Linked DNA regions of Mytilus edulis. The protein of the gene in region 1 binds, or shares a complex with, the protein of each later gene. Links are inferred from orthologs where the notes say so. Each region holds a gene or a part of one and is shown on either strand. Other genes may lie near its edges. The genes, in order: WD repeat-containing and planar cell polarity effector protein fritz homolog and protein inturned-like.

The links.
Region 2: the proteins of WD repeat-containing and planar cell polarity effector protein fritz homolog (region 1) and protein inturned-like are in contact, whole or in part, in a cryo-EM structure (PDB 7Q3E), measured with the Mus musculus proteins. The link is inferred for Mytilus edulis from reciprocal best matches to the Homo sapiens genes WDPCP and INTU. Residues at the interface, in NP_663400.2 of Mus musculus: Phe3, Cys4, Leu5, Ile24, Leu51, Ser54, Arg55, Asp56, Lys93, Leu385, Ala386, Glu387, Asp388, Tyr389, Ile427, Lys446, Leu447, Gly448, Ile449, Leu450, Thr451, Arg452, Gly453, Leu455, Leu462, Gln463, Ile465, His466, Tyr467, Gln487; in NP_780724.3 of Mus musculus: Val481, Gln484, Val488, Asp491, Ser495, Asp496, Glu498, Ala499, Ala500, Asp501, Ser506, Glu507, Asp508, Arg513, Arg514, Thr517, Ser532, His533, Leu534, Pro535, His574, Tyr593, Glu610, Gly613, Cys614, Ala615, Ser616, Lys617, Ser653, Pro654.

The regions. Positions count from the first base shown.
Region 1 is NC_092346.1:82,336,293-82,343,411, reverse strand, and holds the start of WD repeat-containing and planar cell polarity effector protein fritz homolog, read right to left. Parts: upstream 3,210-7,119; 5' UTR 3,111-3,209; exon of another isoform or gene 2,991-3,110; intron 1-2,990. UniProt on the Homo sapiens protein: Probable effector of the planar cell polarity signaling pathway which regulates the septin cytoskeleton in both ciliogenesis and collective cell movements.
Region 2 is NC_092351.1:28,384,610-28,392,541, reverse strand, and holds the start of protein inturned-like, read left to right. Parts: upstream 1-4,678; 5' UTR 4,679-4,766; coding exon 4,767-4,948; intron 4,949-7,932. UniProt on the Homo sapiens protein: Plays a key role in ciliogenesis and embryonic development.

The DNA.
Region 1 (7,119 bases):
ATCTCTTATCAATGATTATTTTGGCTTTTCAATTTATTTAAATGTTTTTTGGATCGTCCTATTTTCTTCAAAAGCCAAAAAAAATAATCATTTTCTCCTATGTTCTATTTTAGCCATAGGAGCTATGTTTCTTGACATACAAGGAAATAAAATATAAAATTTATACTAGATACTCTGAAACTCATTTAGCCTTAGTTTGGCTGAAATTGATACAGCAGTTTCAAAGGAGAAGATTTTTTAAAGTAAGTCAACATGATGAACAAATTGTGAAAAAAAGTCTTTAAAGGGCAATAACTCCTTAAGGGGTCAATTGACAATTTCCGTCAAATTGACTTAATTGAAGATCTTACTTTGCTGAACATTATTGCTGTTTACAGTTTATTTCTATCTATAATTATATTCAAGATAATAAACAAAAACAGCAAAATTTCCTTAAAATTATCAATTCAGGGGCAGCAACCCAACAACAGGTTGTCTGATTCATCTGAAAATTTCAGGGCAGATAGATCTTGACCTGATAAACAATTTTACCCACGTCAGATTTGCTCTAAATGCTTTGGTTTTTGAGTTATAAGCCAAAAACTGCATTTGACCCCTATGTTCTATTTTTAGCAATGGCGACTATGTTTGTTGATAGATCATAACTTCGGATACAATTTACAAACTAGATAACCTAAGGAACATTCAGTTAAAGTTTGGAAGTATTTGGCCCAGTAGTTTCAGAGGAGAAGATTTTTGTAAAAGATTACTAAGATTTACAAAAATGGTTAAAAATTGACTATAAAGGGCAATAACTCCTAAAGGGGTCAACTGACCATTTCCGTCATGTTGACTTATTTGTAAATCTTACTTTGCTGAACATTATTGCTGTTACAGTTTATCTCTATCTATAATAATATTCAAGATAATAACCAAAAACAGCAAAATTTCTTTAAAATTACCAATTCAGGGGCAGTAACCCAACAACAGGTTGTCTGATTCATCTGAAAATTTCAGGGCAGATAGATCTTGACCTGATAAACAATATTACCCCATGTCAGATTTGCTCTAAATGCTTTGGTTTTTGAGTTATAAGCCAAAAACTGCATTTGACCCCTATGTTCTATTTTTAGCCATGGCGACCATGTTTGTTGATAGATCACAACTTCGGATACAATTTACAAACTAGATACCCTAAGGAACATTCAGTTAAAGTTTGGAAGTATTTGGCCCAGTAGTTTCAGAGGAGAAGATTTTTGTAAAAGATTACTAAGATTTACGAAAAATGGTTAAAAATTGACTATAAAGGGCAATAACTCCTAAAGGGGTCAACTGACCATTTCCGTCATGTTGACTTATTTGTAAATCTTACTTTGCTGAACATTATTCCTATTTACAGTTTATCTCTATCTATAATAATATTCAAGATAATAACCAAAAACAGCAAAATTTCCTTAAAATTACCAATTCAGGGGCAGCAACCCAACAACGGGTTGTCTGATTCATCTGAAAATTTCAGGGCAGATAGATCTTGACCTGATAAACAATATTACCCCTGTCAGATTTGCTCTAAATGCTTTGGTTTTTGAGTTATAAGCCAAAAACTGCATTTGACCCCTATGTTCTATTTTTAGCAATGGCGACCATGTTTGTTGATAGATCAAAACTTCGGATACAATTTATAAATAAGATACCCTAAGGAACATTCAGTTAAAGTTTGAAAGTATTTGGCCCAGTAGTTTCAGAGGAGAAGATTCTTGAAATAGTTTACAACGACAGACGACGACAGACGACGGACGACGACGGACACCAAGTGATGGCATAAGCTCACTTGTCCCGCTAAAAAGGTCTGTATAACTGTGATTTTCAAATATATATAAAAGTCCAAAGCCACAAATTTTACAGCAAAAATTAGCATAGCGGAATGAAACTTTAACTTGATCTGTAACTCATCATGGATAACTCACGTACCAAATATCTGAAAGCATTTAGAACATGTAGAAAAAAAGTTTGTATAACCGTGATTTTCAACAATTTATCAAAGTCCATAGCCTGTAGTTTCGGCAAAAATTAGCCGAGCAAAACAAAACTTGAACTTGATCTGTAACTCATCTTGGTTAACTTACATGCCAAAAATCATCCCAATATCTGAAAGCATTAAGAAAAAAAGTCTCTATAACTGTGATTTTCAACATTTTTTCAAAGTCCAAAGCCTGTAATTTTTTTTGAAAAATTAGCAGAGCGGAACAAAACTTACACTTGATCTGTAACTCATCATGGTTAACTCACATATCACCATGTGATAATTAATAAATATGAGTTAGTAATTGTATTGTAACTGTATGTAAAAAATTGTTTGTATCTATGTATCTATGCAAATCAATATTCTTTTTCCTTATTCATGTATGCTCTGTATGCCCCTTGTGGGCCCTAAATTGGAAATAAAATATGTTCTGTTCTGTTCAGTTCTGTATCAAAAATCAGCTCAATATCTGAAGGCGTTTAGAAAAAAAACTCTGTATAACTGTGATTTTCACCAACTTATCAAAGTCCAAAGCCCGTAATTTTTTTTGAAAAATTAGTGGAGTGGAACGAAACTTAAACTTGATCTGTACCTCATCATGGTTAACTTACATATCGAAATTCAGCCCAATATCTGAAGGCGTTTAGAAAAAAACTCTGTATATAATGGTTTGTTGTGTAATGACAGAATTACGTAATTTCAGAATTACGGTCAAGGGTAAAACTATATGGCACTGACAACTTCTTTGCGGGGCCATAAAAATAATATATCAACATTCAATAATGTGAAGTGTCAAAACTAAAATTGTGGATTTGATCGTTCTCATAGGAAAAAATAATGTGGCTAATTAAATTTGCATTTATCCCTCGTTGAGTTTTATAACTTCCAGATTTTTTTGGAGGAATTTGAGAGTCGAATCTGTGTTTTAGGGGTTCGTATGGATAGTAAACCCGGCAATTGTAACAAGCCCCTGTGGTCTGAGACTCACCAATCAAAAGACAAAATGTTATCCAAAAAAGTCAATGAATTTTTCATAGGTTCATGAACAGCATAAATATAAGTCCTGTATCCGTTTATATCCGACTGTCTTAATTTTTAAAAATTATACCATAAGTCGAACCTAAATGTAATTTTGCATTCTTTCAAATTCTTTCAACTTTGTTTTCCTTTGCTACAAGGGAGATAACCTTGAGATTATGCTAAAACATAGTTAACTTAAACCGGGACCGATCGGAATGTTACAGACATATTATATTGTTTGTAACATATTGGTCCGATTTGTTGTCATTCATTCCACATAGTCATAGCGTTTGTCGGACTTATATTCAGGGGTGTAGAGGGCTTTCCTTATTTTGGAAAATATCAGTATTTCTGCCAGAATGTTTTTAAGCATAAAATACTCCAAAAGTGAACCATCTGCAAATCTACGGATATGAACGTAGATAACTTATAATATATCACCACCTAATCACTGAGACTACTATAACAGTATCGGATTTAATTATTTTTCTTTATAAATAGATTAAAAACAAAATTGAATGAGCGGGAAAAGGAAAATAATTTTTATTTTTCAAATTTTGTTATCACTAATGCCAGAGACATATAAAATCAACTTTTAAAGACTCTGAATCAGCAGTAAATTCATTTAATAATATACTATATGAAAATGCTTTGAAGTCTGCAAAACTAGTAAAGAAAGTCCCAGTCAGAAATAAAAATCAAAATAGGTCAAAAAGACGACCTTGGTACTCTGAATCTTGCCGTGAACTTGGCGTTACAGTAAAAAATTATGCAAAGTTAGTTAATAAACATCCCTATAATTCTGAATACAGACATAAATTTTATTCTTTCAGATCTAGACTTAGACGTCTATGTAAATATGAAGAAAATAAATACAAAAAAGATATATTTTCAGAACTTTATACATGTGAGAAAGACCCAAAGATGTTTTGGAACATCTTGAATAAATTAAGTATCAAAAAAGTAATAACAAAGAAAATGAATCTTTACCACAAGAAGATTTCATCCAGTTTTATAAAAAATTGAATAACTGTGACATAAATCACAATAGTTTTCACTCTAAAATTATTAAAGATTTTGACTCTCTAAAAGAAAAGTTTAATTTATCACATGTTACAGATGACTTAACTCACTTGAGTTCAGAGATAACAATTGAAGAGATAGTAACAGCTATTCGTTTAATTAAAAATGGCAAAAGCACATCAGCCGACATGATTTCAAATGAAATGTTGAAAAATGCAATCCCCATCTTAATAAAACCACTTCATAAACTCTTTAATAGCATATTCGAATCTGGTCAATTTCCGAGAATATGGAATGAGAGCTTACTTGTTCTCTTGCATAAGAAAGGGGACAAATTTGATCCAGGGAACTATAGAGGTATATCTATTAGTTCCAACCTAGGTAAACTTTTTAATAAAGTTTTATATAAACGTTTAGTAAAATTTATGGATATCAAAAATTTAATAAGTAAAAATCAAATAGGTTTTAAAGAGAAAAGTCGTACAGCTGACCACATATTCACTCTTAAGACCATAACTGATCAATATAGACAAAAAAAGAAAAAAGTTTTTGCTGCCTTCATAGACTTAAAAAAGGCATTTGATACTGTATGGCGACTAGGTTTATTTTCTAAACTCATAAAACATAATATCCCCCAAAAAAATTTTAATGTTATTTATTCAATGTATACTGATACAGTAAGTAGAATAAAATTCTCTAATAGGTTGAGTCCTCCATTCCTATCAGAAAGGGGTGTTAAACAAGGTGACGTATTGAGTCCACTTCTTTTTAACTATTTTATAAATGATCTAGTAGGTAATCTTGATGACAAACATACGGATCCAGTTGCTATTGGGGATACCTCTTTGAACATTCTTTTATATGCAGATGATATTGTTTTACTATCTGAAAGCAAAGAGGGTCTACAAAAATCTCTTGATATTTTACATGAATATTGTTCAACATGGAAACTACAAGTTAATACTGATAAATCAAAAATTATGATATTTAATTCTAATGGCAAGACATTGTTAAACCATTTTACTTATGATAATGCATATCTTGAAACAGTAACAAATTATTGTTACTTGGGTATTGTTTTAAAGTATAATGGCAATTTTTGCCTTGCTGTGAATACTCTAATGGAAAAAGCCAGGAAGGCATACTATAAAATAAAGAAAACTATAGGTCTCAACAACCCATGTAGACTTCTTGAAAAATTGTTTGATTGTTTAGTTACTCCCATTCTTACATATTGTAGTGAAATTTGGGGGGTGGATTCACATTTTAAAGACTCTGATCCATTTGAAAAACTTCATGTTAAATTTATCAAAGACATATTAGGGGTTCACTGTAAGGCATCTAATGATGGATGTCGAGCTGAACTTAATAGAATTCCCTTGAAAAATAAAATATTATATTCAATATTTAACTACCTGAACCATATAGTTTCTTCGGAAAATTCTTTGGCATATGATATATTCACTAAATCTGTAATTCAAACCCTTGGGTCATAAAGGTCAAGAGTCTTTTGAATGAACTTGGAATGTCTTATATCATCAATAACTTTAATTATGTTAAAGGTAATTTAAATTCTATTAAACAAAGAATTAATGACCAATGTTTGCAAGTTCAAAATGCAAATATATTTGAATCCAAAAAGTTTGACTTTTTCAAAAGTGTCTACATAATGGGCAGAAGACCACCCTATGTTGATATATTAAAAAACAGAAGTGACAGAGCTGCAATATGTAAGATCCGTATAAGCGCTCATACACTGATGATTGAAAGAGGGAGACATCTAAATATTCCCAGAAATGAGAGATACTGCTCTGTATGTAATTCTGGTCAAATTGAAAATGAAAAACATTTTCTTTTACATTGTGAAAAATACTCAACTAAGAGGGACATATTTTACCATAAAGTTTCAAATATAATCGTTGATCCTACAAAATTTCAAAAACATGAAAATAATATAATCTTTTTATTAAATAATAATTCATACACAATCCTAAAATTAACTTCCTCTTTCATCTCAGACAGTTTGAACCTGCGTAAAGCAGAACAAACTCTATAAAATTGCTAATAATCATTGTTCATAATATTACATATTAATATTGTCATTATTTTCAATACTTAATATGTTTGACCAACTATGTAATTGATATATTTTTTTTTTAATCATTTACTGTTGATGATATTGATATCGTTCGATGATATTGTTCTAAATATGCCTATTGCTATTCTATGCATTATTACTATTTGTATACCAGTTGTATGGGCCATTGCCAATTATTGTAATTGTGTTTGTGCCAATAAAATATTTGTATTTGTATTTGTATTTGTATAATACAATTGTATTATATGTCTCTGCTAATGCTATTCATATCTAAATTTTATATTTAATCAGTTTATAGTTCGTTAATCAGGGGCGGCTTTAGGCGGGGGCGTGCGCCCCGCCTAAAATTTGCAAAGCATGGGTTGTCCTCAGCTCAATGCATCTGTTTTAACATTCAAAGAAGTATATAAAACAGTAAGTTTAACAGAATCAACGTGATTACTAATAAACTGACCTACGGTTTATTTATAAGTTCTATAAATTCGGGGTACTGCGTTTGGTGAAAAAATATCATAGGTTTTTAGCAGTTCAAGTAAAACAATGTGACATGGTAGTTGTGGATTTTATAAACAATTGCTTTGATAAGTTCCAAAAAAACATTACCTCACTTTCCCACGAAGTAGGCGAAAGTGCCCTACCTGCGGTTGGGTTGGTTATTTCATTATGGCACGGCCAAGAAAACAGTCCTGTTTAAATTCTTTCTTAAAGGGGCACTAGCTGTCAAATTCATGGTCACAGATTTGTCTCAAATTCTCATATTTGATTTATAACAATGTAAAAAATTTATCCAAACTACCAAAAGTCCAAAAGAAACAGTTTACAGAGCATGGGGTAGAGAATATGTAGGTTCGTTTCGTGTGAATTTTAGTCCACACGCCATCTAATTAACTATCGACTTGACCTCAAATTACCATATAAGCGATGTAAACATAATAAAGATATGAATAGATTAAACCAACACGCGCAATTAGATTGT
Region 2 (7,932 bases), on another chromosome or scaffold:
TTATAAAGTGAATATTTAAATATATTTTAAGGGAATTTGACTAAAACATAGTTTTACGGATAACTGATATCGAATTCTAAATAGTGTATATGTTATTGCATATTATTGTAAAAGTTGATAAAAACAAATTAGATAAATATCATTTACAAAGTATCAATACTTTTTGTTTATTGTGTAAATACATATATATAAAGATTTCTCGATCTTCAGAAAAGGAATTGATTTGTACAGACCAACGTTTTGTTCGTTTCGAATTGCGTGACATTCTGTCATTGAAAAGACAGATCACTTTCGACTGACTACGACATATTTTCCACCCTATAACAAAACCTTTATTGGGTTTTAACTCTTACATGTTCAATATTACTATTCACACAACTTTATTTGTTTTTACAGATAGTATTTTGGAACTTTAAAGTAAAAGGCAGTTAACAAAAGAATTGATGACAGATTTGAATTTACAAAAACGTAATTGACTAAATGGCACCCAATAACAGTCCATTCAGAAAAAGTATGTTCGGATTAAAAACTCCTATGTCAAAATGTCGGAGACGGGATAATTTGGAGGATTTTGATGGAATAAGAAGTATTCTTTCGTACAGGTATTGTAAAATTATTATGTTGATTTATGTATGTCTCCAATCCCATTTGGGTAAAAATGTGCATTTATTCAATAAACTAATTGAATTACGTTGATCATGGCTGCCTTGAAAATGATAAACGGTTACATTTGGTCATATGATTTGGTCACCATTATTTGGCTACATTGGTCGAACATTTGGTTTACTTATCATTCATCTACTTCGGTATTGACTGTGATTTTAAGGTGAAGTCTTGTTGATACTAAAATATGGTCGTTAAAACAAAGATTATCAGTTGATTTACAGTGTTTGGTTTGAATATATTGTTCGTTTTCATTAGCATTGTCATGAGTATTACCATTGACCTTTTGAACTTCCAAAACAAAAACAAAAAAGCACTAGCAAAATATTTTTTAATCGGCAACGTTTTTGTTTATGTTCAACATTAATCTGTTTCTATTTTCATTTGTTCGCGGTTCTGTCTTCTCTATTGTTTCTTAATTTTCTTTTATTTTTTGTTCTTTTTTTGGTGGTGTTTGCATCACTTCTCTTGTCTCTGCTTTTACAGTATGCGTAAGATGATACTACAATTCTTTATAATATTGAAAATGTTTAGAAAAAAATATTAAAGTTTCACGGTCACTCTACAGATATGATATGTAAAGATACATACTCCTTTACCCCAAATGCAATAAATTATTTGTTATTTGTATATTAATTTTGACTTCTCGCTTCTTGATTCACACCTTATTGTACGATTTTTTTTTCAAATACTCATTGAAAGTAAAGAGTATTTTGAACAACAAATAACATTATTGTGTTGTATTTGATGTAGCATAAGTCAATATTATATCTTCACTTAGAGAAGATACGAAAGTTATTTGTATTTTGTTCTGTGAAATAGTTAACTTTGGACTATTGTTTTCAATCAAGAAATTAAACAAATAAAACATCTAGTTCAATGCTAAATTTCATGCGATATTGTTGAAATTATAACAAACAAGACTAAGTCAAAGCTAAATAAAATAAAGTATGACTTCGAGTGGCATTCTTAGTATCAAGTACTTACGTCAGCGGTAGTTAAAAATAATCTGCTTTTATTCTTAACCTTCTTCATCTTCTTTATAAAATATTAACCTACCGCCTGTCATTGTGATTGGACCTGTTTAAGAGATTAAATTGTGATTTTAAAAGAATGAAAACACTTGTGATATTGTTCAACAAATAAAAAGAGTCAGAAGATATAAGCTTAAAGAGTCTTTTTTTTTTTGTAATTTTACTGTATTAAATAAACACACCATCTATTCTAGATCAAATTGTTTTAATGTTATGTTGAGTTTGACGATCCCGGTAGTACGCTTCAAAACAAGAAAAAAGTTATGTTTACAAAATAAATTTTAATAGATGCGGATGCAGATTTGTGAAACCGAGTTTTAATTAATATTTCTTCTATTGCAGAAGTGACACTTGTTTGGGCACAAATATTCACGAATTGTAGAAGAAAAAAAATGTTGGTTTTAATGGTTAATTCAAAATAAACTTAAAGCCTCAGCATTAATTCAGAATCATTATTGTCGTCTATGTTGTCTTGTATTGCTATTTTCGTCATTCTAAATGGTAAGATGTAACAGACTATATTCACTGGCACTTGTCTCAGAAAAAAGATATTTCCTATATACCTTAATAAAAAAATCTGACACAAGTGCTGTGGCTATATTGCCACAAATTATATGCGTGTAGATTTTCGGTATTGACCTGGATAAAGGGGGATAAATCAAATATCCAACATCGTTGGAATGTTCATCTTTCATATTTAAAATATGTGAAGTACAATGCAGAAAGGGTTGTTCTTGCAGATAAAAAAATGTGCACTGCTATATATAGTTATCAAATGTACCAGGATTATGATTTAATACGCCAGACGCGCGTTTAGTCTACATAAGACTCATCAGTGACACTCGACAGAACAAAATAGTAATAAAGCCAAACAAGTACAAAGTGGAAGAGCATTGAGGACCCAAAATTCCAAAAGAGTTGTGCCAAATACGGCTAAGGTAATCTATTCCTGGGATAAGAAAATCCTTAGTAAAAAGAAAAAAGTTTTTTTATCAGGAAATTTATAAAATCACCATATAGTTGTTAAACGTCCACCAGCAGTGGCATCGACCCAGTGGTGTAAATAGTTATCAAATTAAGGTACCATGTGTCTTGAAAAGAATCATTAATCGTTGCACACAATAGAATAATATAAAAAAAAAGATGTGGTATGAGTGCCAATGATACAGCTCTCTTTCCAAGTCAAAATTTGTAAAATAAAAAACGAGAAACATTTATGAACCACACCAACAAACGACAACGACTGAATATCAGGTTCCTGACTTAGGACGTACAGGTGCAATTATGATTACTTTTTTTATCAGTTGATTGTGTTGAAAAATGCCAGCCACTTTTATAAAAAAAATGGTAGTTATAAAAAAAATAGCAACGTATTTTTTTTTTTTAATTACGCCCACCCAAGAATTTAAGTCATCTCTTTAAGGTTTTGTGTAAAATTTAATACTGATTTATCAAAAATAATGTAAGTAAGAGAACACAAAGACACACTTTAAAATACCAATTGAAGTTAACATGGCCTATCCGAATTATTCAAGCAATGTTCTTCAACTAATCAAGAAATAGAAAAGGTTTTGTCGACCAACTGGTTCGTCAATACAAACCTCGTTACAAACTTCTTTTAAAAATCATAATTTCTCTAACATTGCGTTATACTATCATATTAGGTAACACCAGCAGGTAACATCTGATATCACATCTAGGATTGAAGAACATAATATTAGAATCACTGCAATCCTTAAAATGTTCTTCATTTGCCAGTAAATTTTAGGGACCCTAGCTGTAGCCTTCTTCCGATGATGGATCGATATGGTTCTGTCATTTAGGGTTAGAGTCACATTAGCAGGGGTGGATGCAGGAATTTTCGAAAGGGGGGGGGGGGGGTGCTAACCCAGGGCAAAGGGGGGGTGCAAGGGGGTGCAAAACATATGTCCCGATACAAATGCATTGATCGGCAAAAATAAAGGGGGGTGAGCACCCCCGGAACCCCCCCCCCCCTGGATCCGCCACTGCATTAGGGTTATTAATCAAGATTAGGTCTTGTCTTAGGGTGATGTATTAGTTAAGGTGATGTTATGGCTAAGGAAAGTTTAGTTAAGCTCTATATCGGGTACTCAATGTTCAACGAACTGGACGGAGTCTGATTAAGGCTGGCTTGCAGTTCAAACATTAATTAAACTCAATCATGCTTTGAAAATTTTAAGCCCAGTGCATGTATCATCTATGTTGGGGTTTTTTTAATCGTTTTTATCACATAGTTTTTAATTTTGCCATTTGATTACAGACTTTTCTTTTTGAATTTTCGGTCCTCGAAGTTTTGTATTTTTGTGATTTTTACTTTTTAGAGAGAAAAATAAGAATGCAGAAATGAATTCTTCTTCTTCTTCTTTAGGTTTCTAGCGATCCTTCAATTATTGAAGATTATTCGCCGGGCGTCGACTATAAAATTTATAATTTACACTTTAGCAACAAAAATCAAAAATAACAAAATCATAAAATCAAAAAATCAACATAACGTATTTACATTTGAAAAAAATGAATTGTGATAAAACTATATACATTTGATTAACAGAATTCAATAGTTAGGGATAGAATATGGGGATGAGAGCAGATTCTGAGATCATACTCTTGAATCCCTGTACTGTACTGTACTGCATGATACTATTTGTTGTGGCAGATGATTCCAATTTATAACAGTTCGTGGATAAAATGAATATTTATAACTGTCTTTGGATGTTTGTATTTGCCTAAATGAGTTCCCAATCAAGACCCTCTTTTGAACAAGAGATTTGTCTAATATCAGTTGCAAGTCAGTTATATGTGTGTATATGTCAACTATATATAAAAATAAAAGTACAATAGATTATAAAACGAATTGTGTAAGATGTGTAGAAGTTGTGTTTGTTAGTTTAAATGGGATGAGGATTTCCCTTATGGGACCCTAATGGGAAGTCTTTTGTGTTTGAGTTAAATTATTTAACCTTAACTTCAAAGCCCCGGATGTAAACAAAATGGAGGACAAAAATTTTGTCAACCTAAATTTTGAAGTTGAAAACACAAAAATATAATAACATGGCACATTATCACAATAAAACACCCTTTTATAATCCTAAAAATGACAATAGGGTAAATTCTAATCCAGGGAAAACTGAAAGTCCAAACCAAGGAAACGCATTTCACGTTGGGAAAATTGAAGCTAGAAATCGAGATCGGACACAACTTCACAACAATGAATTTTCAGTCGTTAAATCGTCGTAAGTGTAAACAATGTTAAAGAAAAAATGATTTTTATGAATAAATACATTTTAAATCATAGATTATCTGGCAGGTTCTAGGTCATGTACTCGTGTCTTCCTGAAGCATGTGAAGACTAGTCCAAATAATTATCACTCTTGAAACTGAAAGGCTATTTTAGTTTTGCTTTGAGGCCTTTACATACACCTTATTGCTATTAGCCTTATCGGCCAGCTCACCCGGCTGCTTGAACTTTTGACGCATACAACAATCCCTTTTCCATTGTGGCGTCAGATATTTTGTTTTATGACGTCAAAATTTTACTGGAACCTGTGTGATATCCAGTAATGGCGGACAAATAGCGATAAGCTGTATTGACGTCGACTTGTCAAAGCAAAACATAAAATAGCCTTTCAAGATGTTTTAAATATTTGGACTACCTAACCTATTTGTTCATGAATGTATCGACCAACCAGTATAGGTACAAATGTAACTCATTACATGCATTCAGAATAGACCTTATCGCGGCAGACGCTATTTGTCCCCCATTACTGGACATCACACAGGTTCCGGTAAAATTTTGACGTCATGCATGTCATACTAAATATATGACGCCACAATGGAAAAGTGACTGTTGTACATGTACATGTATGACGTCAATAGTTCAAGCGTAACAGATTCTCGGTCAGCCAGGATTAGCAATAAGGTTTATTCATATGAGTAACAATACATGTTTTATCATCATTCTTTTCAGCAATAAGAAAATATACAAATATTTGAGTAATCCTATATGCCTCATATACAAATTTGAAGAAAAGAAGAAAATTTGTTGCATAGGGGGAAATAAGGGATTTATTAACCCCATGTTTTTGAAGGCCTCTATGTATAATTATGTTAGTGGTGGTATGACCCAAATCGATCCTTCTACTGTTCATAGGCTTCTAATTTGATTTATACTAGCTTTGTATTAACATTGGGAATAAACAAAATACATGTACTGGAAAATGCAAGAATATCCTCATAGTCAAAACATTGTATCAGCATTGTCCAGCTAATCACCATGTGGCATCTTATGCTACATATATATAAAGTAGAATCCAAGTAAATACTAATATTTATTATACAACTCAAACGATCGAACTACAGTTACAGAATGATTATAATCCTAATAAAAGCCTTATTAAAAGAGGGACGAAAGATACCAAAGGGACAGTCAAACTCATAAATCTAAAACAAACTGACAACGCCATGGCTAAAAATAAAAAAGACAAACAGAAAAACAATAGTACACACGACACAACATAGAAAACTAAAGAATAAACAACACGAACCCCACAAAAAACTAGGGGTGATCTCAGGTGCTCCGGAAGGGTAAGCAGATCCTGCTCCACATGTGGCACCCGTCGTGTTGCTTAAGTGATTACAAATCCGGTAAATAGTCTAATTCGGTAGGTCATATTCATGAAAGGGAAGGGGATTGTAGTTACGACGTAAGGAACATATCCGATATCATTTGTGAAACGGTTATTCCATAACGGTCAACCAACTCGTGATGGCGTCCGTAAAATTTACGAAGGGATGATTTCAACTTCACCATTTGGAACTCTTGGTTTAATAGCTTCCTTGTGAGCAGCAAACCTCTATCAAGAAAATCATGATAGGAAATGCAAGCACGGGAATATCGTATCAATTGGGAGATATATACCCCGTATGCAGGTGCTGCTGGAATGTTGCTATTTAGAAATGGAAAGTTCACAATTGGAAAGCTGAAATCATCTCTTTTGTCGTAAAGTTTTGTTTTCAACCGACCCTCATTGTCAATTTCTAGATGTAAGTCAAGATATGAAGCCGACTTAACTGTATCTGTAGTATCCTTTATCTCTAGTTCGATTGGATAGATGCGTTCCACATAGTCACTAAATTTTGAATTGTTTAGTGAAAGAACATCATCTATATAACGGAAAGTAGAGTTAAAGGATATTGCTAACTTCTTATCTTTCTTCCTAAGAAGTTCCTGCATGAAGTCAGCCTCATAATAATAAAGAAACAAGTCGGCGAGTAGAGGGGCACAGTTTGTTCCCATTGGAATGCCGACAGTCTGTTGAAAAACACGTCCTCCGAACGTAAAAAATATGTTGTCAATCAAGAAATCAAGCATCTTGATAATATCAGTTTCAGAGAATTTTTTGTTTGAATCAGAGTGATTCTTTACAAAGTAGGATTTATCCCTCCCTAAGACAAGATACTTGTATCTACGTTGGCCATTCTTTTTTATGAAGCAAAGTAATATCAACTCTTTCAATTTGTCTTTTAGTTTGGAATGTGGAATACTTGTGTACAGGGTAGAAAAGTCAAATGTTTTAATACTGTTACAAGATGAAAGAGAGTTAGATTGTATGTACTCTAAAAGATCTTTTGAATTTTTAAGTATCCACATCTGATTCAGGCCACCTCTAGAATAGGCAGTTTCACAATAACTTTGAAGCCCGTCTTTGATTGCTGATAAAATAGATGTTAATAATTTATTAAACCATGTGCAGATAATGAACCTGTGTGTGGTGGAAATGATAGATACATAGAAACTGTCACAGTATCAATTATCAGCGGATGTAACTGTTTATATTAATGTCACTACACACCATAAGGTACTCTTTAACAGTTAGATATATATAAAAATGTTCAGATCCTTTTTTGACCCGTCTGGTGTAATCAGATACAAATTTGCAGGAAATCATATTCTATATGGTGTTTTACCTAAAATCTTGAAAGAATGAAAACCAGTTAGAAGTTTTTTTGCTGCAATATGCATTTTGTTGAAAGTGTATCAGTGCCATGGGCATGGGACATGTATAAAGACAAAATTCGACTATTCTCCCACTTATCCTCCCTTCTGCCCAATCTGGAGCATTGAAATATACAACTCAAAATGTTATGACATCAGGGGCGGATTTAGCCATTTTAAAAAGGGGGTTCCCAACACAGGACAAATGCATTGATCGGCCAA